4 linked regions of the Caenorhabditis elegans genome follow. The protein of the gene in region 2 purifies or fractionates together with the protein of the main gene of each other region. This does not show direct contact. Each region holds a gene or a part of one and is shown on either strand. Other genes may lie near its edges. The genes, in order: ttr-15, gly-8, rab-5 and clec-137.

Region 1 (7,397 bases), 1.3 Mb from region 2:
CTTTGTTAGTTAACAACTTTTTGCTAGATACCACCGTTTTTAAGTTAGAATAGTTTTCCCGCTCCTCCTTCTCACTGGTACCACACTCTAAGCAAGTGTAGCTGCCAAACCGGTGAGAATATAACATTATATCTTATACCATTTTCCAACTTTTTTTTTGCTGTTCGTTTTCATAATATATTTTAACGTTTTCAGACAAAAAATGTCCAAAGTCAAAGTATCAATCGAAGGATCCCAAGAAACTCTCTGGAAGATATTCCACGCAGAAGTCAACGAGATGATTGTCACGAAGAACGGCCGAAAGTTGTTCCCAAAGTTGGAATATATAGTCGAAGGGCTTGATGAAAACAAGCTGTATGCAATAATGCTCCAATTACAACCAGTTGGAGAAAGTCGATTCAAGTTCAGCGGTGGAAAGTGGCAGGAAACGGGCAAAGCTGAGAAGCAGGTCGACGCGAAGAAGATGTGGCATGCTGATGGAGTTCGGAAGGGAAGGTGAGTGTGACATAGGAATTGGAAGATTAGAAGCTATGAAGATTTGTAAACTGACATGATTATCAAAATAGTGAGAACCATTTTGTCAATTGGCAACTTTTTTTAGCTCCGCCCTGGTATTACAACTTCAAAGCGCCATATCTCAGCGGGCTTGGAAGTTTTAAAAAAGATGTTAACTGGAAAATTGTTAACTGATTTATCATCTACAATTTGCCAGTTGACAACTTTTTTCTAGCTTGAGCCATTGAAGAGTTAGAGCTGCCGACACTGGCATTCAAATGCCTTTGGAATATTTTGAGGGTTACATCTCATCTAACATTAAAGTTTTCAAAGTTTGTCGTTTGTCAACTGACAACATAATTCAGATGAAAATAATTCTAAATTTGCTAAATTTATATCTTCAAAGTAACCCCAATTAATTTCAGTGACTGGATGTGGAGTTCGATTTGCTTTGATCGTGTGAAAATCTCCAACTATTCAGAGTCCAACAACGCTTCAATGGTAGGATTTCAACTTTAAAATTACTTGGCAATTTCCAATTTAAAATTGAAATTTCAGATTTACCTCAACAGCATGCACAAGTACATTCCAGTGCTGACAATCTACGAGTCTCCATCGGAGAGCCCTTTCTGCGTCCCACAATCCTCAAACCAAATCGTCGCCACCGCCAAATTCCCTCATACCGAGTTTATTGCAGTAACGGCTTACCAGGTTAGTATTGAGAGTAAGAGTATTAGCGCATGGATCTTATCTCGGAAGAATCAATATTTTGTGAACAATGGGAAATCTGGGAAGGAAGGGGGAAGTCTTGTCAACCATCATACTTATCAAGAAGTCGTTAACTAATAATTTGTAACCCTAGTTGTAAAGATTAATTAGTTAGTTGACAAGTTTTTAATAGAGTTAAAAGAAGGAGAGTTACACTTGCTCAAAATTTGGCTCTATTTATAAATTTGAAACTGCGCTACTTTAAGCACTCCTACCTCGCCAATAAAAAGAGCTATATAAAAGTTGTCAACTACAAAAATATTGCTCGCTTTGTGATCCATAATATGGTGTTTAACAATTTCTTAATAGATTCTTTGTTTTCAAAGATAGAGAGAGTTGAATAATAAACCTAATTTTTCCTCATTTCAGAACCAAAAAATCACCGACTTGAAAATCAAGCACAACAGTTTTGCCAAAGGTTTCCGTGACGGGAACTTGAGTCGCAAGAGAAGATCACCATCATATTCCGACGGCAGCAACTCACAGTCCCCATCGCCAAAATCCAGATCACCACCGGAGGTCGCACCTCTTCAGTCGATGCCTCCAATCAACCCATTTCTTTTTTATTTTCCCCATATGTTATCTGAAAATCTTCCAGTCCAATTTCCATTCGCTTTTCCATTTCTCTCGCCTCTCCCGTCGACTCCTTCCAGCTCGAGCAGTGAGCTGAGCATTGTGAAGGAGGAGGATCAGGAGGTAGAAGAAGATATTGATATTGTTGGTTGATAATTTTTATGCAAACTGGTCGCTTTTGATATCATGTAATCAAAATTTTTAATATATAAATATATAAAGCTTTATATTTTCAAAGAAACGACTTTTTGAAGACCCGCCGATTAAATTAGAAGTTTGTCGACTGAAAAAGGCAGCCTAGACTGCTAGCCAACAATTTTTATACCTACAATACTTAAAAATGTATTGTTTAAAGGAACACGTAGTTTTCTGAGTGGGTCTTGCCACGATCACAGTCATAGTGGTCGCTGCAGAACCCACATTTTTAGATTTGCTTATTTGATGTTGAAATGGAAAATTTTCAAGACATTACGAGAACACACAATTCTGAGGATGCGTATTGCGCAACATATTTGACGCGCAAAATATCTCGTAGCGAAAACTACAGTAATTCTTTAGAAGACTACTGTAGTCAAGGGTTCGACTTTTTGAATTGATGTTCAATTGATGTTCAATATTTTCCTCCTTTTCTTCTAGTCTGATTCATTTCAAAAATCGAGCTCGTAAATCGACACAAGCGCTACAGTAGTCTTTTGAAGAATTACTGTAGTTTTCGCTACGAGATATTTTGCGGTCAAATATGTTGCGCATTCTCATTAATTTTGTGTTTCCGTAATATTTCGTGCTTTGACTTCGTTTATTGTGATATCCACAAAGATATACTTGGCAAAATTGTCAACATAATCACGCAACTTTTCTTACAGTTCAAGGTTAAAATTTCAAGGTTTTCCAATAGTTTATTGTTGAATTAAAAGAGATAGAAAGTCCTTCCCTTCCAAACAAGCAAACAAACAAAAAAAACATTTTCTTAGCACTTCTCCTTGTCTTTAGCGGAAAGAATATCAAGAGTGACGTATGTCATATCATAGGTTCCACCGATCTTCTCCTTTGGAATCAAATACTCTGAAACACGCTTGCATCCGGCCTTCTTCACGTTGCAGTTGTGGGTGATTATGAGGTATGGAGAGATTGAGGTGATCTCGTCGTCGGATCCGGTAAGTGAGAACTCTCCTTCTTTGTTCGATTGCATTGAGGCGAGCTTGTCATCGGGGTCGACTGGAAAATTGAATACTAATAGTACGTTTGATAGCTTGTAGGTGTTGCAGAGAATTTTAAGGGTTTTTTATATGTCCTAGGAATATATTGGCAGCCTAAAGCTAGATGAGGTTTTTGGTTTTTTTTTTCTAAGCCACACATCAAAAGTCAATATTATAATTGCAAATTATGGATTCAGTTAGTTGTCAATAGCAGAAAAATACCAGCTTATTAGAGTTTCAAATAATTGACACGGTACAGGAAAAAATTGCCAGAAATCAGTGGTCGTGCTTTCTCTTTTCGCGGCCACGTGGAACAAAATGATCGAAAAGCGGAATAGACAGAAATTTGCCATATGGCATTCAAGTTGAATATCAAATTTCACATTTCGAATGATTTTTTTTTAATTTTTAGAATTTCCTGAATTTTCGTTTCAAGCTTGAAATTCGCCATAATTGTGGTTTTTTGAACATATATGCAATTTTCTTGATTTCTGCATCAAAATGACGATACCCGGTCTCGACACGACAAGTTTGTGTGAAATATGGAAATGTGTGCGCCTTAAAAGAGTACTGTAATTTCAAACTATTGTTGCTGCGATATTTTTATCGGTGTTCTTCATTTTGTTTTTCGCGATTCGGTAAAATTAAATTTTTGAATAAATAAATACATTTTTCTTATAAAAAAACGCTACGAAAAATCGATGAAAAGTCCGCAACAACAGAAGTTTCAAACTACAGCACTCTTTAAAGGCGCACATCTTTTTGAATTTAACAAAAATGTTTCGTGTCGAGACCAGGTATCGTATTTTAAGCTCAAAAATCGCAAAATTTCGTGTAAAGAACGTTTGGGGATGAATATGAAAATTTCAAATACAAATTATTGAGAAATCTCGTGTAAAGCTGTGCAATTCGGCTTTCTTTTGAAAACAGGTGGAAAACTTCAATTTTTAGGCCTTTTTAGTCCTTTTTAAGCCGTTTCAAGCTAAACAAGACTGAAAACTCACGAGTATCTTTCTCCCAAAGGGTAACCTCCGCCTGAATTCTCTTCTTATTACAAATAGTTGTACCCTTGACAGTGATAGTCTGCTTCTTTGCCTCAACAAAAGCCAAAGCCAAAAGAACAACAGAGGTGAATAGTAAAGCACGCATTGTTGTTTTTTGAATCGTGCACTAACGTTTTTTGTTTTATATACCGACAAAATTCAAGGGAATCAAAATGGGCGGAGCCTATCTGATGGTGAAACAGCGATAAGGCGGGGGGATCGTTTACACTAAACAAAAACATTTTTGTTTCGAAAAATTCAAGGCCATCGAATTGACCGTCGTCTCGAGACAGAAGAGGCGAGAAAGATGAATCATTATATTAAAAAATGATATTTTCCTACTAAACTTTTTTGGATGACGTGATGGCGAAAATGAAAACCGGATTCTCTTGCGCACGCCTATTATCAAAATTGCAGTTTCGTTCCGAAAAAAGGGTTGAATAAAAGAACCGTTTTTTTTGTTGTTGTAGAGAGAAAACAATTTGAAAAAAATAAATACAAAGTCGCGTACGCGTACAGGAATTTGGGGGGAGTTGGAAGAGGCCACACGAAAAGAGACAGTTAAAGTGAAGATGAATTATTGAGATACAGGGGTACTTTGGAAATGTGGAAGAGAAGCGGGAGGCTAGGCCACGGCGAGAAAAGTTAGGGTTTCAGGGTTTTTGACGAAATGTACAGAACACGGAAAAGTTGATATTACGCGGAAGTAGGGTTTGGCCAAAAAAAAAGGCAATCGGAAAAAATTGCAGTAAAATCGTAAATCGACACAGAGAGCCGTAATTTGTGGCCTAGCTTTCCCACTTCTTCCAGTTCAAAGGATGAGAGAATCAGTGAGCAAAAATGAGATTCAAATGTAAGGAGTTGTACATAAATTAATTATTTACACAAATTGAATACGTTACTTCAAGCTGAACATCATCCGCCCACACACGACGACTCCAACGATTCCAATGGCTCCAGCTGTTACTCCAGCGCCAATCATCGACCACCGTCTGTTCTGCTTCCGGCGTCCCACTTTTTCAGCTTCTGCTCGTTCGTAGTCCTCTTTCATTTGTTTTCCGAGTGTCATGAAGTCGTCCTGCAATTTTTTTCTTGATTTTTTATTTTCACAAATAATGCTTTAGAGCATATTCCGGGGAACACAAAAATCCGTGAATGCGTATTTCACAACATATTTGAGGCGGAAATATCTCGTAGCGAAAACTACAGTAATTCTTTAAATGCCTACTGTAGTCGATTTACGGGCTCGATTTTTGAAATTAATTTCTTTTGATTAGTGGTTATTTTCTTTAATTGTAAAAATTTTAAAAATTTAAAGAATTACTGTAGTTTTCTCTACTGGATATTTTGCGCGTCAAATATGTTGTGAAATACGCATTCTGCGAATTTTGTATTCCCGTAACAATAACATTATCATAAACAGTAATATACTTGAATATGTTTCCAGCTGTCCCCCCAAGAGGCTACCGAACCCTGTAATTATCGGCTTACCAACACCCCGGGAAGTCAAGGGTACTAGGGAAAGGGGGATATTGACTTCTAATGTCTATGCAAATACTCCTTACCCAGCTCCGATTGTGTTCCTTCCAGTTGTTGCGGATCCGCGTTTTGATGAACAGCGATGTGTAAACGAAGAGGTTTCGCACTTGTCCCTGCAGTTCCACGGATTCCATCATTTTTGCAGCTACGAAACCGCCGAACGAGATTAGACCTATCTGAAAATTAGAAATTTGCAATTTAATTCGTTCATTTCTGGCGGAAAATTAAGCTTAAAAAAACGATTTTTCTGGTTTTTAATGTTCGAAAATTGAATTTTTGGGGTTTTTCGTTCAGCAAATCAGCAGAAAAACCTGTTTTTCGAAGAAAAAAGTTCAAAAATCGAATTTTAATGTATTTTCCACAAATTTTACATTTAAAAACCGATTTTTGATAAATCAGCAGATCTTTTTCGCAAATACAAATCAAGGAAAATATGCTTTAAAAATATTCGAATAGAAAATAACGTTTTTAATCGAATTCGTAAAGTTTTCTGCTAATTTATCAACAAAAAAAATTACAATCCGGGATCAAAATTCGTGGTTTTTTAATGGAAAACTTTCAAAAAAGACACATAATTGGGCTATTTTTGACCAAGTTTTGCTGATTTCCTGAAGGAAAACAAACAATTTTTGCAAATGTTTTTTCTGCCACCTTTCTGGCGAATTTTCGAATTTTTGCAAACTTTTTTTCAGTATTTTCTCCCTTACCAAACGTCCATAAGACATTGGACATTGATCTGTCTGTGCATTTCCAACCGTCCGAACCACATCCTGATACAGTGAAAATGAGATTCTGGGCACTGCGAGCAGCTGCTCACAGAAGGTCTCAAAATTTTCCGCGTGCTTCTTCTCGAATATCGTTCCCATAACTCGCATCATTTCGTGCTCCGGTTGCACTCCACACGGCAATCCCGGTGCTCCAAACCATTCCATTCCGTTTTGCCGGATTCGGTGCGTGAAATAGTCGACCTGGAAGCAGCAGGAAATTTTATTTACAAAAAAAAATTAAAAAATTACCACAAATCCCTCGATATCAAGCCTTGGCTCTTCCCAATCATTGATTTTTCCATCAATTGACTCTCCGATGGACATTCTTCGCGTCGAAGCCTGCCTACTCGGTGATGGCAAGTCCTGAGCATCACTATTGATTCCAAAATCGGTGGGCTCTGTGCCTTTTATCCCCAGAAACTCCTTCATCTCGCCAGTCGCCATCGTTCGTCGCCGATACGCCGGATTCGTCAGCGAGTTGTCCGCCGTGCAGCGTGTCATCTAAAATTTTTATTCGTTTTCATAATCATAATATACATTCTAGACAGAGAAAAAAAAACGAAGAGGAGAGGTAAATCTACGGAAAAGAGAGAAAATCGAAGAAATCAACGGTAAAAGTAAATTGACGAGAATTGTCGAGGGCTGGGGCGGAGTAAGAAAAAAGAAGGCGGAGCATCTGTGCCTAGGCAGTCTTGTTGCTCTTGTTCTGGCAAGAGTTGAAGACAATGGCGAGAGCAAGAATAGCCGAAAGTCCAGATACGAGATATCCCGATTTGTAGATCTGAAAATTAATTTTTATTTTAAAACAATTAAATTAATAATTTCAACTCCTACCTGTCCAACATTATTGACTCCCTTAGCCAAATCGAATCCTAAGAAGCGAATTCCGTTAAGAGTATGGAAAATGATGGGGAAAGCAATGATGTACTTGAAGACAGCGGTCACCGCGCATGGTAAGTTCCAGCTACGGATGAAATCCACAAAAGCGGTGAAATCGAACGGCAAAACTGCGAATC
Region 2 (8,517 bases):
GCCAAAATTTTTGTCAAAAAATTTGAATTTCCCACTAAATTTTTCTCAGATAATTTGAACTTCCCACCGAAAATTTTCTCAGAAAATTGGAATTTTCCGTCAAAGTTTTGCTGAGAAAATTTGAATTCCCGCAAAATTTTTTATCTGAAATTTCGAACAAATTTTCGTAAACAATTTTTCAAGGCATGGTGCATCAATAAATTCTTAAGTAGTACCATTTTCCAGGCTGTACCGCCGGCTTCTTCTATGGCAAATACAATCAACGATACCAGTATAAAGAGCTGAGCAGCGGGAGCCCCAGCAACTCGACAACCCCATTTCAGAGCCCGATGAAGAGTCAGCGAGTTTGAGATGATGACGTCATCAGATTTGTACAATTTATTAATGTGCCTTTAAACATTTGAATGGGTTTATTTCTATGTGATTCTTATTTCCTCTTTCCTGGTTGTTGATTTTGCTTCTGATTTTGATACTGACTTTTGAAAATAAAAATTTTAAAAAAACTCAAAATATTTATTAAAATACGTTAACTAATTATAGTTCATCATGAACTTTTGGCTCAAGTTCTGGATAAACATTCTCAATAAACCATTTCATATCTTTGCACTTGAGACGATCCTTCACTTGCATTGGCTCTGTCAAATCTCCGAACACCATCTTTGCGCCACGTGGCTTTACAGCGAAGAATTTGGACTAAAAATTGGCGTTTTTTCATTTTCATGACAAAAAACCACAAACCTCATACTCGCCGAGCCACGTTTTGGCAACTCTGACCGCGTTGTACAAAGCGGTATCCATTCCTGGCTTTGAGGTGTACGGGCGGCGCATTCTGAACACGTGGCCGACACGTGAGCAAGGAGCAACTACGACACGTCCGCCGCAGAGCCAAGCCTGGAAAATGGGTGATTTTATTAGCGGCCGACAAGTGACGGGCTCGAGTGGCGAAACTCTGGAAGTGTCGGGCGCGCTGAGTAATTGGCAGTGGCGGAAACCGGTTAAATGTCGGGCGCGCGTATTTTGCCTGCGGCCGACAAATTATGAGTTACGCCATGTGAGCGGGGGTCCCCGGAAGGTGTCGGGCTATGTTTTCTTCTCTTTTTCGGAAAAAAACGTCGGAAAAGGATAAACACTATTTTATACAAAAAATTTTTTCAAGAAATGCGTCTTCCAAATCATTTACCAATTTTTGTATTTAACTCTGACCCTGAAAAAATTGAACAACAAAGAAGTGCAGCCGACGATTTCTGGGTTCCACCGCGGCCCATAAACCGCTAGTTGTCGCACCAGCCGCAGCAGCCGACAAATTAAGAGTTCCGCCACTAAGCTATGTTGAGAGTCGCTAGGTGTCGCGCTTGTCCAACAGCCGACAAATTATGAGTTCCGCCACTAAGCTCTGTTGAGAGCCGCTAGGTGTCGCACACGTCCGACAATTTCTGGTTTCCAAAAAAGCCCGCGATATGTCGGGCGCAACCTCGCCTCCACATAGTTTAAAGGCGCATGACTCACCTTCAACGAGAGCTCAATATTCTCGGATCCCCAAATCTCCATTCCCATATCATATTCTCCCAACTCAACGAAATACTCTTTCCTCATCGCCAGAAGACCTCCTGGCATGGCTGGGGAGCTGAAAAATAACCCGTATTCCCTATTACTAATGCACCATATTCCTACTTGAAAGGCTTCACATTATTCTCGGGCGTCTCAAAGTATTCCCATGGAAGATAGATCCATTTGAACGTGAATCCCCAGTCGAATCCACTCTTGGCAACCATCGATGGAGAATAGTCGAAGGAAACTGGATTGATCAGGTCGACGACTGGCAGGACGATGCTGAAATTTTTTTTTGGTTTTCCAGTAACATTTTGCAAGAAAAAACCTCTTTGGATCCTCTTTAATCGGCTGTAGCAGTGGCTCCAACCATCTCTCGGCCACCTCGCAATGGGAGTCCATGAACACAATAACCTCACCGGTAGCTAATCTTGAAGCATGAACCTTTGCTCGGATAAGACCCTGAAATTTGGATTTTGCAATACACGGAAGGTTCAAATTTTCTGGGAACATTTTTTACCGGATATTCAAATGTTCACCTGTCTATACTCGCTTCTCTTAATGATCAGCTTATCCTCGAGTCCCTTAATCTTCGCGAACTTTTCCAAATGCTTAGTGAGCACGTGATCCTCCTCAGAAGCGTCCTCATAGAGCACAATTTCTTTGAGAAGCGATTTTGGAGTAAATTCGATGATTCCGTTGATCATTCGAAGGATCGTAGAGAGAGCCTCGTTGTGATGAATTACCACCACTGATGTGGAATAACTGGCATCGTACTTTTCTTCTTCGCATCTGAAAAGTTCTCTTTTTTGGGTGATACTTAGGTTCAGGCTTAGGTCAGGCTTAGGCTTAGGATTAGGCTTAGGTTTAGGCTTAGGCATAGGTTTATGCTAAGGCTTAGAACTTGGCTTACGCTTAGGCTAAGGCTTAGGCTTATGCTTGTGTTTATTCTTAGGCTTAGGCTTAGGCTTAGGCGTAGGCTTAGGCTTATGCGTAGGCTTAGTCTTGGGCTTAGTTTTAGGCTTAAGCTTAGGCTTGGGCTTAGGGTTAGGGTTAAGGTTAGGCTTATTCTTAGGCTGAGACTTAGTCTCAGATTTCAAGATGTGTTGTTTTAAGAACTTGTTTTAATCAAATTCTCTGAAAACATAAATCGAAAACGAATATTTAAAATCTATCAGGAAATTTCTGAAATCGTAAAGAATCCCCTCTATTCCAGTAAAACGCGTAGAATTTCTAACAAAAAAAGGAATTTTGAAATTACAAGATTTTTTGGAGTTCTCATCAAAATTTCAATATGAAAATTTATTGACTCACAATTTATGCGCCTGCTTTCCAACATTTCTATTCGGTCCCAGCTTCTCCGAAGATAGAGCATCAAAAGCAAAGCTCTTAATTCCCCATTCGGATTTCTTGGATTCCTGGAAAAATATTTGATGAGTTAGACAAATAACTAATATTTTGAAGTAGACTTACAGCTTCAGTAAGGTTCTCTTTTAAAGTGTGATTGCATTTTCTCTCGGTGAGAGGCTTCAGGTCCAACCAGCCTTCCAAACTGGAAATTTTAAATTTATGAGTGATAACCTATTAATTATAGAAGGTCATAAAAATTTGTCAATTAGTAAAACATTTTTTCCCGCGGAGTTACACGATTTTAAAGTTATCAGTTTGTTTCAAAACTTTAAGCGCGTATAACTTCTTAACTGGATTAGCTACCAAAAAATTCTCAAGTACCAAAATATGGATAAATTTGTGCTTAACATTTTTTTTTAATTAACAACTTTTTGATATCTTCAAAAGCTAATGAAATATAGAGATACATATCTTTAAAGCCAACCAACTTCTCATAAGGGTCCACGTGTTCGCACTTTGGAAGCTTCTCTGCTTCTTCCGCCGCAAATACTATTCCGGCAAAAACAAAAATCGATAGGACGACGTGGCGTCGCATTCTGTAAATTTTATCTTAAAATTTAAGGGTAAAACATGCAATCAATCAGAAGACTTCCGTCTTCTTTTTGAATGAAAAAGTAAAGAAAAATTGGGATGGAAAACAAGAAATCGTTTCGGACAGACTTCTTCTTTTATACACACCTTCTCCGCATTTTCGGAGATGTCTTCTATGTCTCACCTACAAAAACTGGTCCATCTTATATTCCGCCACTTTTTCTCTGCGTCTCTTAGGTTTTGTACTCTGTTGTCGTCTATATAGATGTGGTTATTAACCAATTCATTAGTGGAGAAGGTTCGAGAAGAAAATTTGCCCCATTTATATAATTTAAACAAAAGTTAACTTTCAGCTATTTTCCAGTGGAAAATCTCAAGAAGACTATCCAAATCCAACAAAAAATTATAATATTTTTTGAGTTTGCGCGTCAAATATGATGCATTGAGTGTAGTTGGAGTTTATGAGATTTTTTATAAAATAGAAATATCATAATTTGTGCTCTAAAATCACCCAAACTGCTAATTTGCAGAATTTTCGGGCGAAATACAGAAGAAAAGCCAAGTGGCACCTGGAAATTTAAAATGTTGCGCGTCAAATCTGATGCACTGTGGTCGGTGTTTGCAGAGAACAAATCAATTTCTACGCGCAAACTTGTTCTTTGAGGTTTTGGGCCATTTTATTCGAAAAAAAAAATTCACCATTTTTGTGTTTTTTGTAATCGATATATAAATTAAAAACTTTGAAACTCTAAGAATTTACGCGTCAAATCTGATGTAATCGTTTTCGGTGCGGCTCGCCGACCCCCCTGCATCAGATTTTACGCGCAACTGATTTTAGGGCAGGCTTCTTACATACTATAATAGCTAAAAAATCTAATTCTTCCAATTTTTTTGTCACGTAGCATCATGGGCTCCTGGCTTTCCTCATTGCATTTTTCGCGCTCCATTGACAATCGCCTGCCGGAGACAACGCGTGGGAAAGTCGTGTACTCCACACGGACTAAAATCGAGCCGCGACGCGACACGCAACGCGCCGTAAATCAACCCCGGCCGAGTCAAAATGGCCTAATTCTGGCAAACTCTTACATTTCAAAATGATTTTTGAAATTTTTTCTTAATAAAAAAACAAAATAAAAAGCCAATTTCCTATAAATTGAGGCCAAGGCCTCAAACGGTGTTCCCGATACTAACCTTGTACCCCTTTTTTGGAGTGTTCAGGAGATGTTTATCTTTTCTCTGTTCTGTTGGAAAATATATTGGTTGTCATTTATTTAATCAAAAACCCATTAAATAACAAAACTAGAGCGGTAGAAATTTTTTTTAAAAATTCAAAAAAATTGCCAAAAAAAATTGTGTCAAGAATCCAATGGTTCCAGTTTGATATCTTCTTCGTTGTCGGGCTCCTGAAAAAAAATCAATTTTTTTTCTAGAATCTGAAATTTTCAGGTTTTCACTAACATTCATCTCAAGCCTTGGCATTTTCGCCAGCCTCGGCGGTGGATCATCATCATCCTCGAGTTTCGGAGATTTCCGGCTTTTTTCCTCGCGATTTCGGTAGTAGAAGATCCATCGACCGAGTGTTTCGTATGGAACGTCAAGCTCTAGTGCTAGCTGAAAACTAAGATTTGAAGAAATTTTTTGAGGGAAAAATTTCGAAAAATCGATAAAATATAGATTTTTTAAATTCAAAAATTCTGAAAAAAAAATTGGCGGGAAATTAAAATTTTCAGAGAACAATTTTTGGCGGTAAAACCGAATTTTTCGAAATACAAATTTTGGCGGGAAATTTAAATTTTTTTCATAACATTTTTGGCGGGAAATTCAAAAATTCTGAGAAGAATTTTTTTTGGCGGGGAATTCAAATTTCCTGATAAAAACAAATTTTGCCGGGAAATTCGAATTTTTTGAGGAAACTTTTTTTTGGCGGGAAATTCAAATTTTTTTTTGAAAAAAAAATTTGGCGGGAAATTTAAATTTTCAGAGAAAAATTTTTTTAGCGGGAAATTCAAATTTTCTGAGAAAAATAATTTTGGCGGGGATTTAAAATTTTCTGATAAACAACTTTTGGCGGGCGGGGAATTCAACTTTTTTTTAAAGAAAAAATACGATTTTGCCGGAAAGTTCAAATTTTTTGAGAAAAAAAAATTATTTTGCCGGAAAATTCAAATTTTTTGAGATGAAAACATTTTGGCGGGAAATTCAAATTTTTAGAGAAAAAAAAATATTATTTTGCCGGGAAATTCAAATTTCCAGAGAAAAACAATTTTGGCGGGAAAACTGGGAGTTCGTTTGCGAGAGACCCTCAGTACTGACCAATCGTCGCTTGGCGACCGAGACTACAGTAGTTCCATCAACAATTGTCGTGAACAAATCGATGCTTTCCTGTGTGAGCGCATCAAGCTTATATTCGAATTTCAGCGCTTCTTCCTCGCGTTCCTCGTTCATTTGTTTCAATTTGAACCAATTCATCACTTCTTTCACTGGAGCACGTAGTTCTTTCGCCAAATAACAATATTGCTCATCTGTTGGTTGCGGATTTTGAAGAAATGTCGAATGGAGCCGTTTTTCGTCGTTTACAGAAAATGTTCTCCACGTTTGATCTATTATCTGCAAAATTGTTCCGGTGAAATCTGATGTATTAGATGTGGAATTTGGATGTTTTTTTTCTTCAAAAAATCCTGTAAAATACATATTTTTCATTGATTTTTAAATATTTGAGGCGATTTTACAACTTAAAACTAATATTTTTTTTATTAATATTCAAAACTAATTTGCACGTAAAATATGGTGCATTCATGTGATCCCGAAGAATAGTGCAAACACCGTATTTTACGAGCAAATTTGTTTTAAAATCAGTATTATTATTAAACCGTAAAATAATGCATTTTGGTCAAATCGCCTCAAACAGTTAAAAAAGGTATTTTCAAAAACTCGATAATTTTTGAATTCCCGCGTTTTCCGGCTATATTAAAAGGGATTTTTGCTTCTTTATTTTTTGGAAGACATTTTTGAGAAAATTCGCTGAAAGTATAAACCTGGCCTAAAAATCGATAAAAATCAATCGGAAAAATGTTTTTTTTTTTTGGAAAAAATGCGAAAAAAAATGGTTCAGGTTATGAAACGGAGAAAAAACTGATTGATTTCGCCGGAAAACATTGTTTAAAAAGTTCGAAACAATTACGGAAACTCAAAAATTCTGAGAATGCGTATTACACAACATATTTGACGCGCAAAATATCTCGTAGCGAAAACTACAGTAACCCTTCAAATGACTACTGTAGCGCCTGTGTCGATTTACGGGTTTTTAATTGTTTAATTCGTTTCTTCGCTCTTTGCTCAATTCATTTCGACGCTACAGTAGTCATTTAAAGGATTATTGCACTTTTCGCTACGAGATATTTTGCGCGTCAAATATTTTGTGCAGTACGCATTCTCAAAATTTTGTGTCCCCGTAATACGCGTTTTTGGGCTAATTTTGTCAAATATTCAAACAATTTTCGGAAAATTCATTATAACTAAACTTTAATTAATGTTAAATTTTCGATTTTTAGGAAAATTTTTGGGTTTGAGCGAGGTTTCGCAAAAATAAAAAAATTTAGAAAAATTCAACTGGATTTTTTTATTGAGTTTTTTTCCGCTGAAAATATTGCAATTTTCGGAGAAAACCCCAAATATTTTCCAGAAAAAAGGATGCTTACAGAGTCGACAAACTTCCTATTATTAAACCATTCGTGAACTTTAATCAATGACATTCGTAAACTAATGGAAATCGACTCGAGAAGATCCCTGGATTCATATGAAGATGGATTCATTTTCACAGTTCTCATATATGCTTTTTCCATTGTTTCATCTTCGAATTTCGAATATTGCGATTTGGGTTTTGGTTTGTGTGGTTTCGGTGGCTTGTGACGTTCTCGGAATGCTCTGTCGGCTTCTTCTTGTTGCTTTTTCTGCTGTTGATTCTTTCGTTCCTTGAAATGCTCGAAACGTTGTCGAATGTATTTTGGAGGCAGGCCCAGCGCATCGGAGAACTGCAAAAATTTTTTGAAAATTGGATTTTTTTTTCTTGAATTTTTTTATTTTTCACAATATTTTTTTGAGCCTGAATTCCATGAATTTTTTTCTTGTAACACAAAAATTCAATTGTTTCAATTTTTATTAAAAAAAAAAAATTTAATTTTAAAAAATCATAAATTTCTCAAAAAATGACAATAATATCTAGTTTTCAAAAAAAAAAGTACGTTTTTTCAGGAAAATTTCAAAAAATTTCAAAAATGATTTAAAATTTAAAACAATTGAATTTTTACTTTTTTTTTTCAAAAATCATAAATTCCTGAAAAATTACCCGAAAAAAAATTATTTTTGATTTTCCAAAAAAAAAAAAATTTTTCCAAAAAAAAATTTTTCGAATTTTTTAAAAATTACTTTATTTAAAAACACCTTGTTTTTGTTGAACAGAAATGAAGATTTTTAAAAATTTAAAAATCGTTTTTTTAAACGTTTTTTTTTATAATTAAAAGAAAAATTAAAATTTCAAAATTTCGAATACAATTTTTTGTATGTAAAAAAAATACAGGAGTTTATGATTTAAAAAAAAATGAAAATTTTCATTAAAAAATTTTTTTTGTTTTAGGTTTTTTAAAACGTTTTTCTTGAATATAAAAAATCAAACAAAAAAAATAATATCTGACAAAAATTTTTTTTGAAAATTGACAATTTTGTAGGTAATTTTTTAGGAGTTTATGGTTTAAAAAAAATTTGTAATTTTTCAGTTTTTTCAATAAAAAAAATCTTGAACCATATAAGAATGTAGATCTCTGAATACATATCGATATTTGGCCCAATGTTTCTCAAACATTTTAATCATTCTACACCGAATTTCAGGTGGCTCAAGTAATGGTCCATGTGGATGTAATTCCATTTCCAAATAACGTCTTAAACTCGAGCAAGCATCATCTCCCGTGCACATTTCATTATCGTCATTTCGTCGTCGCTCGAAAAAGCCGAAAATCGCCTCGATCGATCGCT
Region 3 (7,439 bases), on a different chromosome or scaffold from region 2:
AAAAATTTAAATGTTTTCAAAATTAGGTTTTTAAACTTACGTTTCCATATTTCCCAAGATTCGGATGAAATATAAATGTGTGAAAACAAACTCTTGGAATCAATGAATGATTTTGATATGGTTGGATGTTAATATCGGCAAAAAATGTTCCACCTTCATAGATACTTCCAACAGGTCCATCAATTATTACATGAAATAATAATTGTTTCGTTTCCTGAAAAGTTACTCAAATTTTTTAAAAACAGAAAGTCGACTCAGATTTGGCTAAAAAACTGTTTATTGCGAAAAATATAATGTTTACTGTTTCTTGTTATTTTTAGAGGTATTTTGCATAAATTTATAAGTACTCTCAAAATATTCTAAAAAAATTAAATATCATAGCCGAACTCTTAAAAATTAAAAAAAAAATAGAAATCGCATTAAAATTTTTTTGAAACTTTAAACTATGATATTTAGTAATTTTATCACTTAAAATTATTATTATTATTCTACAAAAAAATCCGAAAAAATAATTTTAAATTTGACATTTTCTTGTGGTGGAAAAGTCAGGCAATGTCAATCCATTTTGAATTTTTTTTTTTGAAATTTTCCAAAAACCATAAACCGTACGTCGATTCTCATTATGCATCCGTTGACTTTTTTTCCTTGTAAATGTCGACTTCTATTCATAAATTCGGTGATAATATCAATCTGGCAGAGGGATTTCTCGACTTTCTTCAATTTTTCGTAGTTTATTCCATCTCCAACTATGTCTATTATAGAATTTTTGTCGTTGTCCATTAATGTTACAGTTTCCTCTTCTTTTTTCTTTATTTCCTGTAAAAATAATTTTAATTAGGAGAAATATTTATATTTCTGACTTCAAGTGGGTTCTGATTTTTGGAGAGCAACAATTTTCAGTTTGATTTTTTTTGCAAAAAAATGTTAGGTCATTTCTCAATACTCTTTTAAAAAATATTTGTTTCATATTTTTCTCATTAAAATAATTTTTGAAAAAAATATCCAGATGCGTTTTTGGCTGATTTTTTCTCGTTAAAATCTAAAACAAATAAATAAATAATAATTTAAATAAAAACCTTCAAAATAACAGAAGGATCCACAAAATTTGTGCTTCGAAATGAAATGAGACCATTGACACGTTGAGATTCTTTGATAAGATCTTCTGTATTTATAAAATGTGGAATGCTAACGTTTAGACACTCCTCCCGATGATAATTATGAAGATCTTCAAGTGGAACATTCTTTGGAACTCTGAAAATGTTTTAAAAATTAAGAATGATTTTTTTAAATGTGACTACGTTTTTCGTGGTTGTGGTTCTCGATATTCTGGAAGTGGTTTTCTTTGTGGAACTTCTGATGGTCTTAGGAATGTAACCTCATTCCGTGGAGTTTCATCTGATGGTATTGCAATTGGACGGGCACGTCGACGTGTTGCAGCTGAAAATTAAAAATTCAAAGTTCCTACTAGAAAGTTTGATTTAAAAAGCTAAAATTGATGACAAAAATTACAGAACTATTTTCTTTGTGTTTTTTCACTACAGGCACGGTACCCGGTCTCGACACGACAAATTATTGTTAAATATAAAAAGGTGCGCGCCTTTAAAGAGTACTGTAGTTTCAAATAATTTTCCATACTTTTTCATTGCTTTTCGAAAAAAAAATCAGATACATATTTAAAAAATGAATGTAAAAATTTAAAAAAATTAAAAAATCTCAGATGATTTTGTATATTTTAAAGTAAATTTATTTAATTTTTAAATTTAACTTTCTTTTGAATTCAATTGATTTGAAAAGCATTTACTTTTTGTGGGCGTTGGTTCTGCTCGAAGAGGCGGTCTACTTGTTCCAGGTTGATCGGACATTTGTATTCTTCAAATAATTCTCACCTTGTTGTTTTTCAGAAAATTGAATTCAATATCTAATATCGATCGTATACGAAGGGTTTTGTGTTACCAAGTATATACATTTTCGAACTTCAATTTATTCGGATAGATTCTGAAAGGATGCTATAAAATTTTGAAAAAAAATTGACAAAAAGGTGGTGAAACTTTGACGAGAAAAGTACTAACAGTGGGATGGTGGGGTTCGGGACTTGGATGTTGATGGTGAGAAGCAATAAATAATTGGAACATTTGAATGAAAAAATGGGAGTTTTCGCATATAAAAAGCAAATGGGCAGAGCCAATTGTGCAAGCTCATTCACTGGCTGAACATTAGTCAGAAATATACAAAAAATGAGAAAATATGGGTTAAAAGAGTGAAAATAAATAAAGAAAGCGAGCACAAAAAACTTGTTCAAAAGTGTTTTTTTTTCGAGGGGAAAACAATGACGACGATCACAGGCGTTGGATTCAAAAGATATATAGAACAAAAGAGGAGCGGAGCTAGAAGGGTTGATGGTACATGAAAAAGTCGTCAATTTATTTACAGCATGAACCCTTTTGTTGCTGTTGTGGTTGGTTCATATCGACAGTTCCCGTTGGTTCACCCTGTGCTGGTCCGATTGGCAACTTTTTAGCTATTGCCATGAAAATATCGTTCACGTTCATTGAGGTCTGTAATTAAATAAATAGAGAATTGATTTTAAATTGGAAATCTTAAATTTCTCATTCATTTTTTAATGGAGATTAGTTCAAAAACTATCTTCGCAGAAAACAAAGTTTATTGTTATTTTTAATAACAATTTTAGTTTTTGATCTATTTCAGTACTCTGTTAACATGTTTTTATTGTCAAAATCCAAATTTTCTAATGTACCTTCGCAGATGTCTCCATGAACAAGAGAGCATTGTCCTCAGCATAAGCATTAGCTTCTTCATACTCAACAGTTCGCTTATTGGCAACATCAGCCTTGTTTCCAGCCAATGCCATCACAATATTTGGAGATGCCTGTCGCTGCAGTTCTTTTACCCAATTTTTCGCTTTTTGGAAAGATTCTTGATTGGTAATATCGTAGACAACAATAGCCGCTTGAGCTCCTCGATAGTACATTGGTGCCAATGAATGATATCTTTCTTGTCCTGCAGTATCCCAGATTTCGAATTTAATTGTTGCATCGTCAAGGCACACCTGAAATTTCGAAAATTCAATTCTTAATTATTAACGTTTTTACGTCTTTCAATATAAAATCCGTGTTTTTCGAGCAAAAATCTCCGCAATTATATTATTAAAAAACAATATATTATTAAAATTCGAGATTTTTCATTTTAGTCAAAATTTTTGTTCAAATTAGGGAAAATTGTTATATTTTCACAAAAAATTCAAAAACTCACAGTTTGAGTGAGGAACGCAGCACCTATAGTCGACTCCTGATACTCGTGAAATTGTCCCTTGACGAATCGCAATACGAGAGATGATTTGCCTGAAATGATAGTTTTCTGTGATGTTTAGGTGAAATAAGAGAGCATATACGTCATATGCTAGCAACTATCAGATGACCCATAATTCTAAACATATAAACAATCAAAAGACGAAGAATTAAACTTCGAAATCAACGCAATTTCGAAATTTTGTGACGGTTTTCAGCAACTGCGAAATATGCTACAGACAGAACGGAGTAGAATAAAAAAATCTTTATTTTTTGGAAAACTGTTCTTGTTTGCTTTTATTTTCTACTCCAACCTTTAGCGGTTTTTTCCATTTTCAGTATCAACTCACCTACAGCACTTTCTCCGAGAAGAACGAGTTTGAACTGGCACGTTCTGTTTGGACCTCCAGGCCGGGCGGTTCCTGCGTTTCGGGCGGCCATTTTCTAAATACAAATTTGTTGAATTTATTACATTAAAAATCGATCGAATAAATTACAAGCAAAAAATAAGCATAATTTCACATAGGAAACGATATGAGGGAGGATTCAGCTGAAAAAATATCAAAATGGTTTCAAAGAGAAATAATGTTGCATTTTTCTTTCCAGAAAGAACAAAAAAAATAATGTTCGACTAAAATTCTATATCTCAATTCTCATTGATAAAACAATTTTGAATCCCTGAAATTTCTAGAAAAATTTCTAAAAATCCTTGTACTTAAAAAGTGGAAAAATTGATTTGAAATGAGCAATTTCCGAAAAAGATTGAAGGCACGCGAGAGACTGAAGAGTGGTAAACAAGCGTATTATTGATTCATACGGGTGTCTCACGAGGAACGAAATTGTGATGAAATCGATAAAGAAATACGGGTTTTGATCACTATTTTCATCAATTCAGTTTGCTTATCTCTGCATATTATTCATCACGTGTAATTTGATTAATTGATAAACTTTTTTCTCAAGTTTTGATGAAGTTTGAGATTAAAATTAGTTTTCTGGAAGCATCCAAAAGTAGTGAACGAATTAAATTGCAGGATATATGAAAATCAATAAAACTAAAAAAAAGAAATATTTGCGCAACAGACATCGATGACACACACGGGCTTCGTCGGGGGTAGCCAATTTGGCTGCGTACCTTCTGGGGTGGTGACGGGCGCAGTTGACTGAGTATTCAATGTTTGTGTGACATCGCAGACAGTTAGACAAAAATGGATGAAAACGGGAGGAGGCTTTTCGGTGCGCGCGCTTTCGAATTTATATTTTTTCGCGCTAGGCCAATTTTACATTTTTGATGAAAATTATTTTTCATTTCGAAAAACTTTTATTTTCCGGTAATTTTTGGCTAAATTTAAAAAAAACGCGCAAAATTAAGCGGAAAAAGTGTGAAATAATAGAGACCCGAAGAACTCGGGGGATGTCCAACTGGGGGGATTACCAACTCGGGGATTGGCCCCGCCTACAGAACCGTGGCTTGCAATACGCCTATTTCTGCAACTGCCGCACGGTTTTAAAACTGTATTTTTCTCAATAGAGCGAGAAATAACAAGAAAAAATAATTTTAAAACCGTGCGGCAGTTGCAGAAATGGGCGTATTGCAAGCCACGGTTCTGTGGGCGGGGCCAATCCCCCGAGTTGGTAATCCCCCCAATTGGACATCCCCCGAGTTCTTCGGGTCTCAAATAATATTCAAGAAAATTCAAAAGAGACTACTGTAGCTGAGTCGTTGCGAGACAACTTTTTTTGTTTGAGCCATGTCCCTTTAAGAGTAAACTGTATTAGAATGTTTTCACATTAAAATTCTCATTTTAAATTTGTTTCATGCTTAATTTTAATATTTCCCAATCATAAAAATTTGTCGATTTTGTGAATAAAAGGTTCAATAAATAAGAAATTTCCTAAACGTATCCTGATTTTCCACCTGACTTGCATTTTTTGACACACTTTTAAAAAAAATTTTTCGTTTCTGATCACTCTCGATATTTTTCATATTTTTTCAAAAACGTTTCGTTCTAAATAGCTCAGAAGAAAACAAAATATTTTTCAGTTTCAATAAATATTGTGATAAAACGATGAAACGAGTCGCTCTTCTTGCCGTCGGGTCGTTCAATCCACCAACAATTGCACATTTACGTATGCTTGAGGTAATCAAATAAAAAAAACATTAAATGTATGATATATGAATTTTCAGGTCGCCAGGTCACATCTCGAAACGATTAATACACAAGTTGTTGAAGGAATAATGAGTCCCGTTGCTGATTCATACAACAATAAACCAACGCTTATAAAATCTAATTTTCGGTAGAAAAAGTTTTTAAGACTTGATAAAAAATGTTCTAATTCAGCATTCAAATGGTTCGAGCCGCCACAAAAAGTTCTGATTGGATACGAGCCGATGACTGGGAATGTACTCGAACCACGTGGACAAGGACAATTGATGTTCTTAGACATCATAGAGAACTTGTTCAGGTTCGCCCTTTTTTTTCTGAAAACTTAAAAAACCGAAAGGGAATTAAAATTGGGAAGTTTCACACACCAAAAAATCGCGAAAATTTTCAAAAGTTGAGCATTTTTAGAAACTTAGTTTTTAAAAATATTTTTAAAATATCAATATTCTGCTATCACCAATCATAACCCCTTAATAAAACTAAAACTTAATCAATTCTTATTTCCAGGAGAAATTTGGATCAGACGTCGGTATGATGTTAGTCGTCGGAGGTGACGTAGTAGATTCATTCACAAGAATTCTTCCCGATGGATCAAATCTTTGGAATTCCAGTGATATTCGAACGATTATAACAGAATTTGGATTAATAGTTTTGTCACGGGAAGGATCGAATCCATTGAACACAATTCAATCAATGCCTGCAATTTCCGAATTTTGTGATAGAATAATTCAAGTGAAAGATGAAGTGTGTCCCAGTGGAGTTAGTTCAACACGTCTTCGAGCCGCAATTATGAATAAAAAATCCATAAAATATTCGACGCCAGATGAGGTTATCAATTTTATCAGGGAGAATAATCTGTATCAGAAAATTTAATTTTTTACTGTTAAATATATATACTTTTGAATATATTCTTAAATGCTACGGGTTTTAATTAATGGCATTGTTCAAAATATCGAATAAAAATTGCGGTCTGATTGAATTGACTTTATCATGTTTTTTTCTTGCGTCTCGCTGTTGAAATAGAATTTTAAATGACTTTCAATGCTGATTAATTGATAGATTTCACAGAAAATACAACACTAAACCGGTTGAACATTTTACAAAATAATAACTACAGTAATCCTTCAGTACCTCTTCCCTAACCAAACACTATCCTTGTCTCACTTCAGAGAAAATTCTGTATTCAAATTAATATTACAGTAATCCCACAGTACCCCCACACTAAAAATACGGTACTTGTGTACATAATTTCTAAGCCAAAAATACAAAAACTTTTTTTAAAATTTATTATTTTAAAATGAGGGGAAATAATACACAAGTACCAAAATACCGTTTATCTATTTAAAATGAATAGAAATTGCTGTCGGTTGAATTGATTTCAAAAATCATTTCAGCTGGTTGCCACTGTTCATGCTTACTAGGAGTGGGAATTTTTAGTATCGTTAAAATTATTCTCATCCGGTTAGTACGTCTTATAGTGAACCTTCGAATCCATCTTACACATTTCAAAAATATTGATTTTTATAGGTTTGATGCGTCCTTTTGTGGCCCTCTTTTTTTTTAGTAAATTCCTCGCATTTTAATTCATATAAAGATCAATATTTCTGATTGACTAAAATGAATTTGAAGCTGTCCTCAGCATACGCCGTACTAACCGTATGAAAATAAATTTTAATAATCCACTTAATACACATACTGAAAATTACGAAATTGTTTAAATATAGATTATCAGCCTTGATGCTTATAGAAAACAAAATTTTCAATTTAAAACGTGGAATACCAAATACTACAAGTATCATGCGACTTTTTAATACATTGTTTTTCAATGTTTAATTGACCATCAGACGGGTGTATTTTGGGAACAGTATCAATACAACCTGTTCGTGAACACTTTACTTGGGCGGTTCCCTCTTTCAATTTGACCTTTTCTTTATAGGAGCCTCCCAAATCTTTGAGATCAACTCTCTGCCCT
Region 4 (6,504 bases), on a different chromosome or scaffold from region 2:
GTTTATCGCGATCCCAAATTTCTGCCCGCTACTGAATTTAGAAATGAGACAAACTTAATTTTCAAATTAATTTTAATTTTTCAGGTAATAGAAAACGAGGATGTCTATGATCGACCTATCGCAAGATCAGTTTGCCTAGATTATGACGCAGTTATTACGAATGTCGAGAACCAAGAGGAGCTGGATGATATCAATGGTAAGTAGCTGCTCAATAAATAAGAGTATTGTTAATTAGAAAAATTATATGTAAAGTCCAACGGAACAATTTCCAGTTGACTAATATTTGCCTACAAGGTGACAGGCGCCTGCCTTTTGCATGCCCACTTACCTACTTTTCAATTGGCAGTTTAAATCTAATAGAAGGGTTTCGGTTGTGACGAAAATTTTTTTGTAGACATGCTGTTTTTCTACGTGGAATTTTTTCTAAATTTTACTGAAACTAAATACTTCAAATGACAAAAAAAGAAGACAGTAAGTAGGCCTGTAGGCAGACAAGTAGAATAGGGCCTACCCGCCCTTCTCGTCTCTTATTAAAAATACGATCGGCGTGATGCCATTTTACAAATTCTCGCAAGCTGAACAAACACCTGGAGGCAGCGATTAGCATTCGTACTATTTTGGAAAGCGAATTTTCTGGTTTTTTGAAAAATTTGGAAAATGTGAAAAAATAGAGCCGGCGGCTAAAACTTTTCTGAAAGTTATGTATTTACTAACATGCTTAAAGCCAATCACTGTTATCATTTATCAAACAAATTATGTAAATGCAACGTCATTGTTATTGAATGTAAATGCTAAAAGGCACAACAAAGCCGACAGAAACTGACAAACAACTTTTAGGCAAGTTAAAACTGAACACAAATTTCAGCTTTAATTCGAAAAAACAATAAACGAGTCGCAGTGGACGGAGTGTTCAATCCAAAATGCCGAGGTTTCAGCGACTGGCGAATGAGAAAGTTTGGAGGACTTTGCGCAAAAGAAAAAGAGGTTTTTGTTTCGAAAAGTGTGTTTCAAGTATCCCGATCGTTTTAGCTATTTATTCTGGAGGACGATCACACCGATCCAGCGTTCATTCTCACAAAGTGGTCTGGAGAACCGCCAACTTCATCAGACAAGTATCAGGAGAAGGGGGACTCTACGTAAGGAACCCAGTGGGATAAAAGCTTCATGTTCTAGTTTTCAGAGAAATTTTCACAATCGCTGAATGTCTATCTCTACATAATCTCCAGGCAATCAAGAATACTGGAAATTTGAAGGATTTTTTGTGAGTTTTTTTTTTGCAGGATTTTCAAACCCAAAACTAAAAAAATTTCAGGTGCGGCGAAGAACCAGACAAACAAGTCGGCGAGGTGCCATTCTTCGGAGTTCTGTGTGGATGTGCTCCAGTATAAAATTATTTAACTAGTGCCAAATGTATAAACAATTTTTGAATTTTTTGAAGATTTTTCAGAGAAATCTGTCCTCGAGGCACAATATAAATTGTTCTTACAATGTATGCCTAGTTTGAAAATGTATATCATGACTCGATTTTTTTTGTGTTATAAAAAATTTTCCCTCTAGAAAAAGTTGAAAAATAGGTAGAAAAATAAAATGCGTCATTTCCGCCCAGCCCCCGAGATACCGTATCATTTTGATGTATTCGGGGAATAATGGTTCCGCAGAAACGGAATCATTGAAGGGATGTACAGCTTTTTTATAGCTTTTGACTAGTACAAAAGCATACTGAAAGCTTCTTCTTGAACTCTTCATAACATGTTAGTTTTATTCTTACTATTCTTGGTTGTTCCGGCGGTTTCTGCAAAGGATCCAAGATGCCCAAAAAACTTTACTTTTGTCAAAAGAACACTAACTTTTAAGAATAATTTTACAAAGGGGTGGTGCTTGGGGGTACGTTATTGATAGAGACAGTACCCAGTTTTAAAATACACTTTCAAGATTTTCAATGGAACGGATGTGGGAAATCGTGACCGAGCCCGCTCAGTCTGTCTCTATCATAACGCTTCGCTGAGCAATCCAGAAAATTCACATGAACTTGAGATTGTTTCTGGTAAGTTGATCATGTTTTTTTTTAAAGACATGTCTTCAATTCAAAATCGCTAGGAAAAATATGCTTCTAAATGTGTAATTAATTTTTAGACGTTATTCGCGCACGGAACATTTCCCTCCCGATTGCACTCGACGGACAACTCTCTCCAAGATGCAAGGCCCTTATTTTCAGAGGCGAACAGAGCCAACAATATTTTGACCAAAGAACAGAGGAAGGAGATTGCAATATTAACAATCATTTGTTTGTATATGATGATATCAATACAGATACTTTATTTATCCGTTCCAAACTAGGTACTTCGGCTGGAACTAATGGAGGATACTCCAGTCAGGAGGACGGAGTAAAGTAAGTGTATGAAAATTTCTAGATTCAACGTCAAACAAGTCTAGAATTCAATTTACAGATTTCGTTTCACCAGAGATTGTAACGCATTAACAGATGCATACTATTACTTTTCTAATGGAACACATTTCTATGCGGTAGATGGACGAACTGAATTGCTCGGATGCTTTGGGGAAAAGGATAAGCAAAATAAACACGAATATAGTAGTGTTCTTTGTGGAAGATTCCCTCTCTGAGTTAATTGATCAGAAAAGACAGTTGTTAATAAATATTTTGGAGTTGTTGTTCGAATTCATCACTTGTGATTATATCAGAAAATACCAATTTTGCAACAAACATCAGTCGAGGATATGCATAATTTTCATAATAAGTATTTTTTGATAGCTAAAGATTGGAGCTAATCATATTTCAAAATTTACAGAGACAGGACTATTTTAAAAGTAAACTACCCTGTAACAAATCAAGAGTTTCGAAGCTTGAAATCAAAAAAAAACTTATTCTTGTAAATCATTTTATATTCTACCTCGGAAGCCGACAAAAGCTTGGTTTTAAAAAATCTAGCTTCAAAGTCTTGTTTTCAACCACAAATGTTTGTGTACATAAATTTTTGGATAGGTATCATAACAAGCAAGAGGGCCTTATGTTAGTCATAGGCTTGCACTCAGTTGCTCAATTTTGACGGCTAATAACTAGGTTGTGTTTTGTTTTACCAAAAATTATAAGCTGACAAAGAATGTGTTACAAATTTCTCTACAGTTTTGGTGTTAAATGTTTTTGATAAAAGGGCTGAAAATGAGGGTACTTTTGTTAGAATCTTTATTAGATCAGATATTTTTTTGTTTCAAAGCGCATGGTTTCAATATTCTTGACAACTTCTATCAACCTACGTGTTATATAAGAATTTCTTTGAATGAAATCATCCAACCTGATGAAGAAATATAATGCGTCGTTTCCGCTATCCAGCCCCGAGATACAGTATCATTTTGATGTATTCGGGGAATAATGGCTCCGCAGAATCGGAAACGCTACAGGGGGCGAACAACTGTTTTATAGCTTTTGACTAGTACAAAAGCATGCTGAAAGCCTTCTATGAAGTTCAGTATAAAATGTTAGTTCTATTCCTACTATTTTTGGCAGTCCCAGAATTTTCTGCGAAGGATCCAAGATGCCCGGGAAACTTTACGTATTTCAAGAGAACACCGACGGCAAAAAATAACTTTACAAAGGGATGGTGCTTGGGGGTAAGTTGTTCATATCAATGACACCTAAATAGTTTTAAAATGATATTTCAAGATTTTCAATGAAACGGATCTGGGAAATCGCGACCGAGCCCGTTCAGTATGTATCTATTACAATGCGTCGTTGAGTATTCCAGAAAATTCACACGAACTCGAAGTGATTTCTAGTAAGTTTTTGAGGATTTTTTTATTGCTGCATGCGGAAAAATGTAAAATTTCCAGAGACTGCTAGCTTGAGAAACATTTCCGTACCAATCGCTCTTGATGGACAACTCTCTCCAAGATGCAAATTCGCAATTTACAAAGGACAAGTAAAGGGTGCAAAACGATTTAATCAAACTTCTGAAGAAGGAATTTGCAATATTAAATATGAATTGTTCATATATGATGATATTAATACGGATACTTCATTCATTCGCACAAAGCTAGGTGTTTCGGCAGGATCAAACGTAAGAAGTGTACAAGCTGATGATGATATCGAGTAAGTTTTGAAAATCGACTTTCCTATTTGCATCCAACATTTCATTTTCAGGTATCGCAGTACAGCAGATTGTACCGTTTTGGAAAAAGGATCGTATCACTATTCTAATGGAACACTAAAAGATGGGCACACTAATTTGATGGATTGTATGGGACAGCTAGCTGGCTCCAAGAGGCTACCAGAAAAAAATGTCACCGCCGTTCTTTGTGGCCGATTGCCGTTCTAAGTAAATGTATTCTATCATTTCTGGAAAGATTAATTTTCAATATTTAATAAATATTATATTTCCGAAATCTTTCTGATATTTCTTATTACCTTAGCTGATTGAAAAGATAAGGTACACCCAATTTGTTTCCGCAAGTGAACTTCAGGTTATTCTTAGGCGACGAAAATCCCTGTGCGGGTTTACAATTAAATCATTTTCGCAACGAAACATTTCCTTTTACAGAGTTTTGACAAGTGTGTATACCATTTTTGTAAACTAAAAGTCAATTAATTCATCTTAACTTTCGTCTCGAACTTTTCGTTTTTAAGTTCCATCTTGTTGATAATACGGCCTAAAAATTGTAAAAAATTTCTCAAAGCTTCCTATTTTCTGTGTCAAGAAAAATCGGAGAGCTCTACATTATCTCTTTTTTGGCTTCCGGAAAACTTTTAGAGTAAATTTATAATGTATAATTTATGATAAACCTCAAGAAAATAGGTACAACAAGCATCTGCTACGTCCAAATCAAAATGTTTAGAAGAATAAATACTACGGTAGAGCATTTTGTGGGTGTTGTTGAACATCACGCTTTTGTTGAAACGATCAAATGCTGTCGGAAAATAATGGCTCCGCATGGCTTAGTCACAATTTTATCGATTTCAATAGGTACAAAACCCCGCCGAAACTTTTCAAAACTGACAGAAAAATGTTCGTTTTCTTTTTGCTATTTTTGACTGCGGTTTTCGCAAAGGATCCACAATGCCCAGAAGGGTTTTCTCATGTCAAGAGAGTCCCAACTGCAAGGAACAATCATACAAAGGACTGGTGTTTGGGCGTAAGTTCCAAGTTTTGGGTTTTGTGTTCATAATGCTTTATGACCATATTTCAGGTTTTCCAATTCAAGAACATGGGAAACCGAGACCGAGCTCGATCATTTTGCAGTTATGTGAACGCTTCATTGACCATTCCAGAAAATGAGCACGAGATTCAAGTGTTTTCTGGTAGGGATATTTTTCAATAAAAACATTTTCAGTGTTGTAATCTTCAAAAACTTTCAGAAATCGCCCGAGCTCATGGAATTGAAGCTCCTTATGCTGTTGACGGTCAAATTTCTCCAAAATGCAACGGTCGTATTAATAAAGTCGAAATCATACTTCGTCATCGATTCAACAGTACAGAAGAAAAAGGAGATTGTAATATCAAGAATAATCTATTTTTGTTCGATGATGTCAATAGTGACACTACATTCATGCTGAGCCATTACAAACGTCGACTTCCAGCTGCTTATATGGTTCATCAAGCTGACAATGGTCCAATGTAAATTAGACATAATTATCAAATAGCGTGAAATCATAAAAAATCAAATATTACAGATTCCGATTCGCCGCTGATTGCATTGTTCTAAAATCTGGAATTGTCAAGGCTAATGGCACAGAAACAAGAAAGAATTGGGGAAGTTTGGAGTTTTGTGTGGGAAAAAATGCAGTGCAGGCTTATACAGACGATGAAAAACCATATGGAAACGACGTGGAAGCAGTTTTGTGTGGAAGACATCCACTTTAATTGTTTTGAGAAACTTATAAGAAATGTGGGTCCTAGAAATGTGATGCACCTTGTCTTTAGTTTTGATTGAAAATTGTCAGCTGAAAAAATAAATTTCAATTTTTTCTATAGTTTTGTAACTTAGTATTAAAAAAATAACATTGAAATTCCCTACAAAACAGTGAAAACTGTAAAAAACAAAAGCGAATAAAAAAAATCTCGAGTCTCGTTTCCCCCATTATACATAAGTACATCAATCCCTATCCTTTCCAACATAGAAAAAAAACACGACACGGTCTATATGATGCGAATATTCGGTAATACGCGATTTAGAGATGATGGAGGAAATAGATGGGACTGGATTTTTTGTCAATTTTTTTTTACAGTGATGATGATTAACTTTTTATGGTTGGGAGGTTTTTCACTGTATTATACATATATATGAATGGTTAAGCAGGAAATGGGGGTTAAAGTAAGTGTGAAAGGAGAAGCCTAGTGACATCAGCAACAGAAGATGCCTGCCGGTGTGCCTTCAAGGCAATCTAGGCCTACCTCGTGCCAACAAACTCCTGAAGTAGGCCAGACAGGTTCGAGGTATGTATGTAGGTAAGCACACATGCCTGGAGCTTAATGAAAACTTTATGGCAAGAAA

What was found.
Region 1: the proteins of gly-8 (region 2) and ttr-15 fractionate together in Caenorhabditis elegans (co-fractionation; one large-scale study listed by BioGRID). This does not show direct contact.
Region 3: the proteins of gly-8 (region 2) and rab-5 fractionate together in Caenorhabditis elegans (co-fractionation; one large-scale study listed by BioGRID). This does not show direct contact.
Region 4: the proteins of gly-8 (region 2) and clec-137 fractionate together in Caenorhabditis elegans (co-fractionation; one large-scale study listed by BioGRID). This does not show direct contact.

Annotation. Positions count from the first base shown.
Region 1 is NC_003281.10:10,334,657-10,342,053, reverse strand, and holds ttr-15 (Transthyretin-like protein 15), read right to left. Parts: upstream 4,208-7,397; 5' UTR 4,182-4,207; coding exon 4,037-4,181; intron 3,052-4,036; coding exon 2,804-3,051; 3' UTR 2,614-2,803; downstream 1-2,613. Other genes in the region: T-box transcription factor tbx-9, read left to right, coding at 203-495, 921-996, 1,054-1,206, 1,633-1,989; Apoptosis regulator ced-9, read right to left, coding at 4,974-5,153, 5,641-5,790, 6,322-6,582, 6,631-6,882; mev-1 (Succinate dehydrogenase cytochrome b560 subunit, mitochondrial), read right to left, coding at 7,064-7,162, 7,216-7,397.
Region 2 is NC_003281.10:11,620,219-11,628,735, reverse strand, and holds gly-8 (putative N-acetylgalactosaminyltransferase 8), read right to left. Parts: upstream 3,495-8,517; 5' UTR 3,494-3,494; coding exon 3,387-3,493; intron 3,101-3,386; coding exon 3,022-3,100; intron 2,967-3,021; coding exon 2,863-2,966; intron 2,341-2,862; coding exon 2,088-2,340; intron 2,011-2,087; coding exon 1,877-2,010; intron 1,831-1,876; coding exon 1,672-1,830; intron 1,625-1,671; coding exon 1,507-1,624; intron 892-1,506; coding exon 739-891; intron 694-738; coding exon 535-693; 3' UTR 501-534; downstream 1-500. Other genes in the region: Y66A7A.7 (IMV envelope protein), read left to right, coding at 226-350; ceh-91 (Homeobox domain-containing protein), read right to left, coding at 4,845-4,892, 4,948-5,100, 5,803-6,096, 7,188-7,520, 8,288-8,517. UniProt on the Caenorhabditis elegans protein: Potential glycopeptide transferase involved in O-linked oligosaccharide biosynthesis. In contrast to other members of the family, it does not act as a peptide transferase that transfers GalNAc onto serine or threonine residue on peptides that have been tested.
Region 3 is NC_003279.8:9,304,752-9,312,190, reverse strand, and holds rab-5 (small monomeric GTPase), read right to left. Parts: upstream 3,750-7,439; 5' UTR 3,747-3,749; coding exon 3,656-3,746; intron 3,360-3,655; coding exon 3,271-3,359; intron 3,068-3,270; coding exon 2,756-3,067; intron 2,556-2,755; coding exon 2,421-2,555; 3' UTR 1,970-2,420; downstream 1-1,969. Other genes in the region: uev-3 (Ubiquitin-conjugating enzyme E2 variant 3), read right to left, coding at 41-214, 610-816, 1,077-1,251, 1,299-1,437, 1,802-1,862; nmat-2 (Nicotinamide/nicotinic acid mononucleotide adenylyltransferase 2), read left to right, coding at 5,372-5,443, 5,491-5,600, 5,645-5,768, 5,975-6,340.
Region 4 is NC_003280.10:4,615,046-4,621,549, reverse strand, and holds clec-137 (C-type LECtin), read left to right. Parts: upstream 1-3,459; coding exon 3,460-3,627; intron 3,628-3,679; coding exon 3,680-3,791; intron 3,792-3,846; coding exon 3,847-4,105; intron 4,106-4,156; coding exon 4,157-4,331; 3' UTR 4,332-4,398; downstream 4,399-6,504. Other genes in the region: clec-139 (C-type lectin domain-containing protein), read left to right, coding at 85-196, 866-984, 1,030-1,136, 1,181-1,261, 1,313-1,388; clec-138 (C-type LECtin), read left to right, coding at 1,750-1,884, 1,933-2,044, 2,134-2,389, 2,448-2,622; clec-136 (C-type lectin domain-containing protein), read left to right, coding at 5,017-5,145, 5,200-5,311, 5,369-5,627, 5,684-5,873.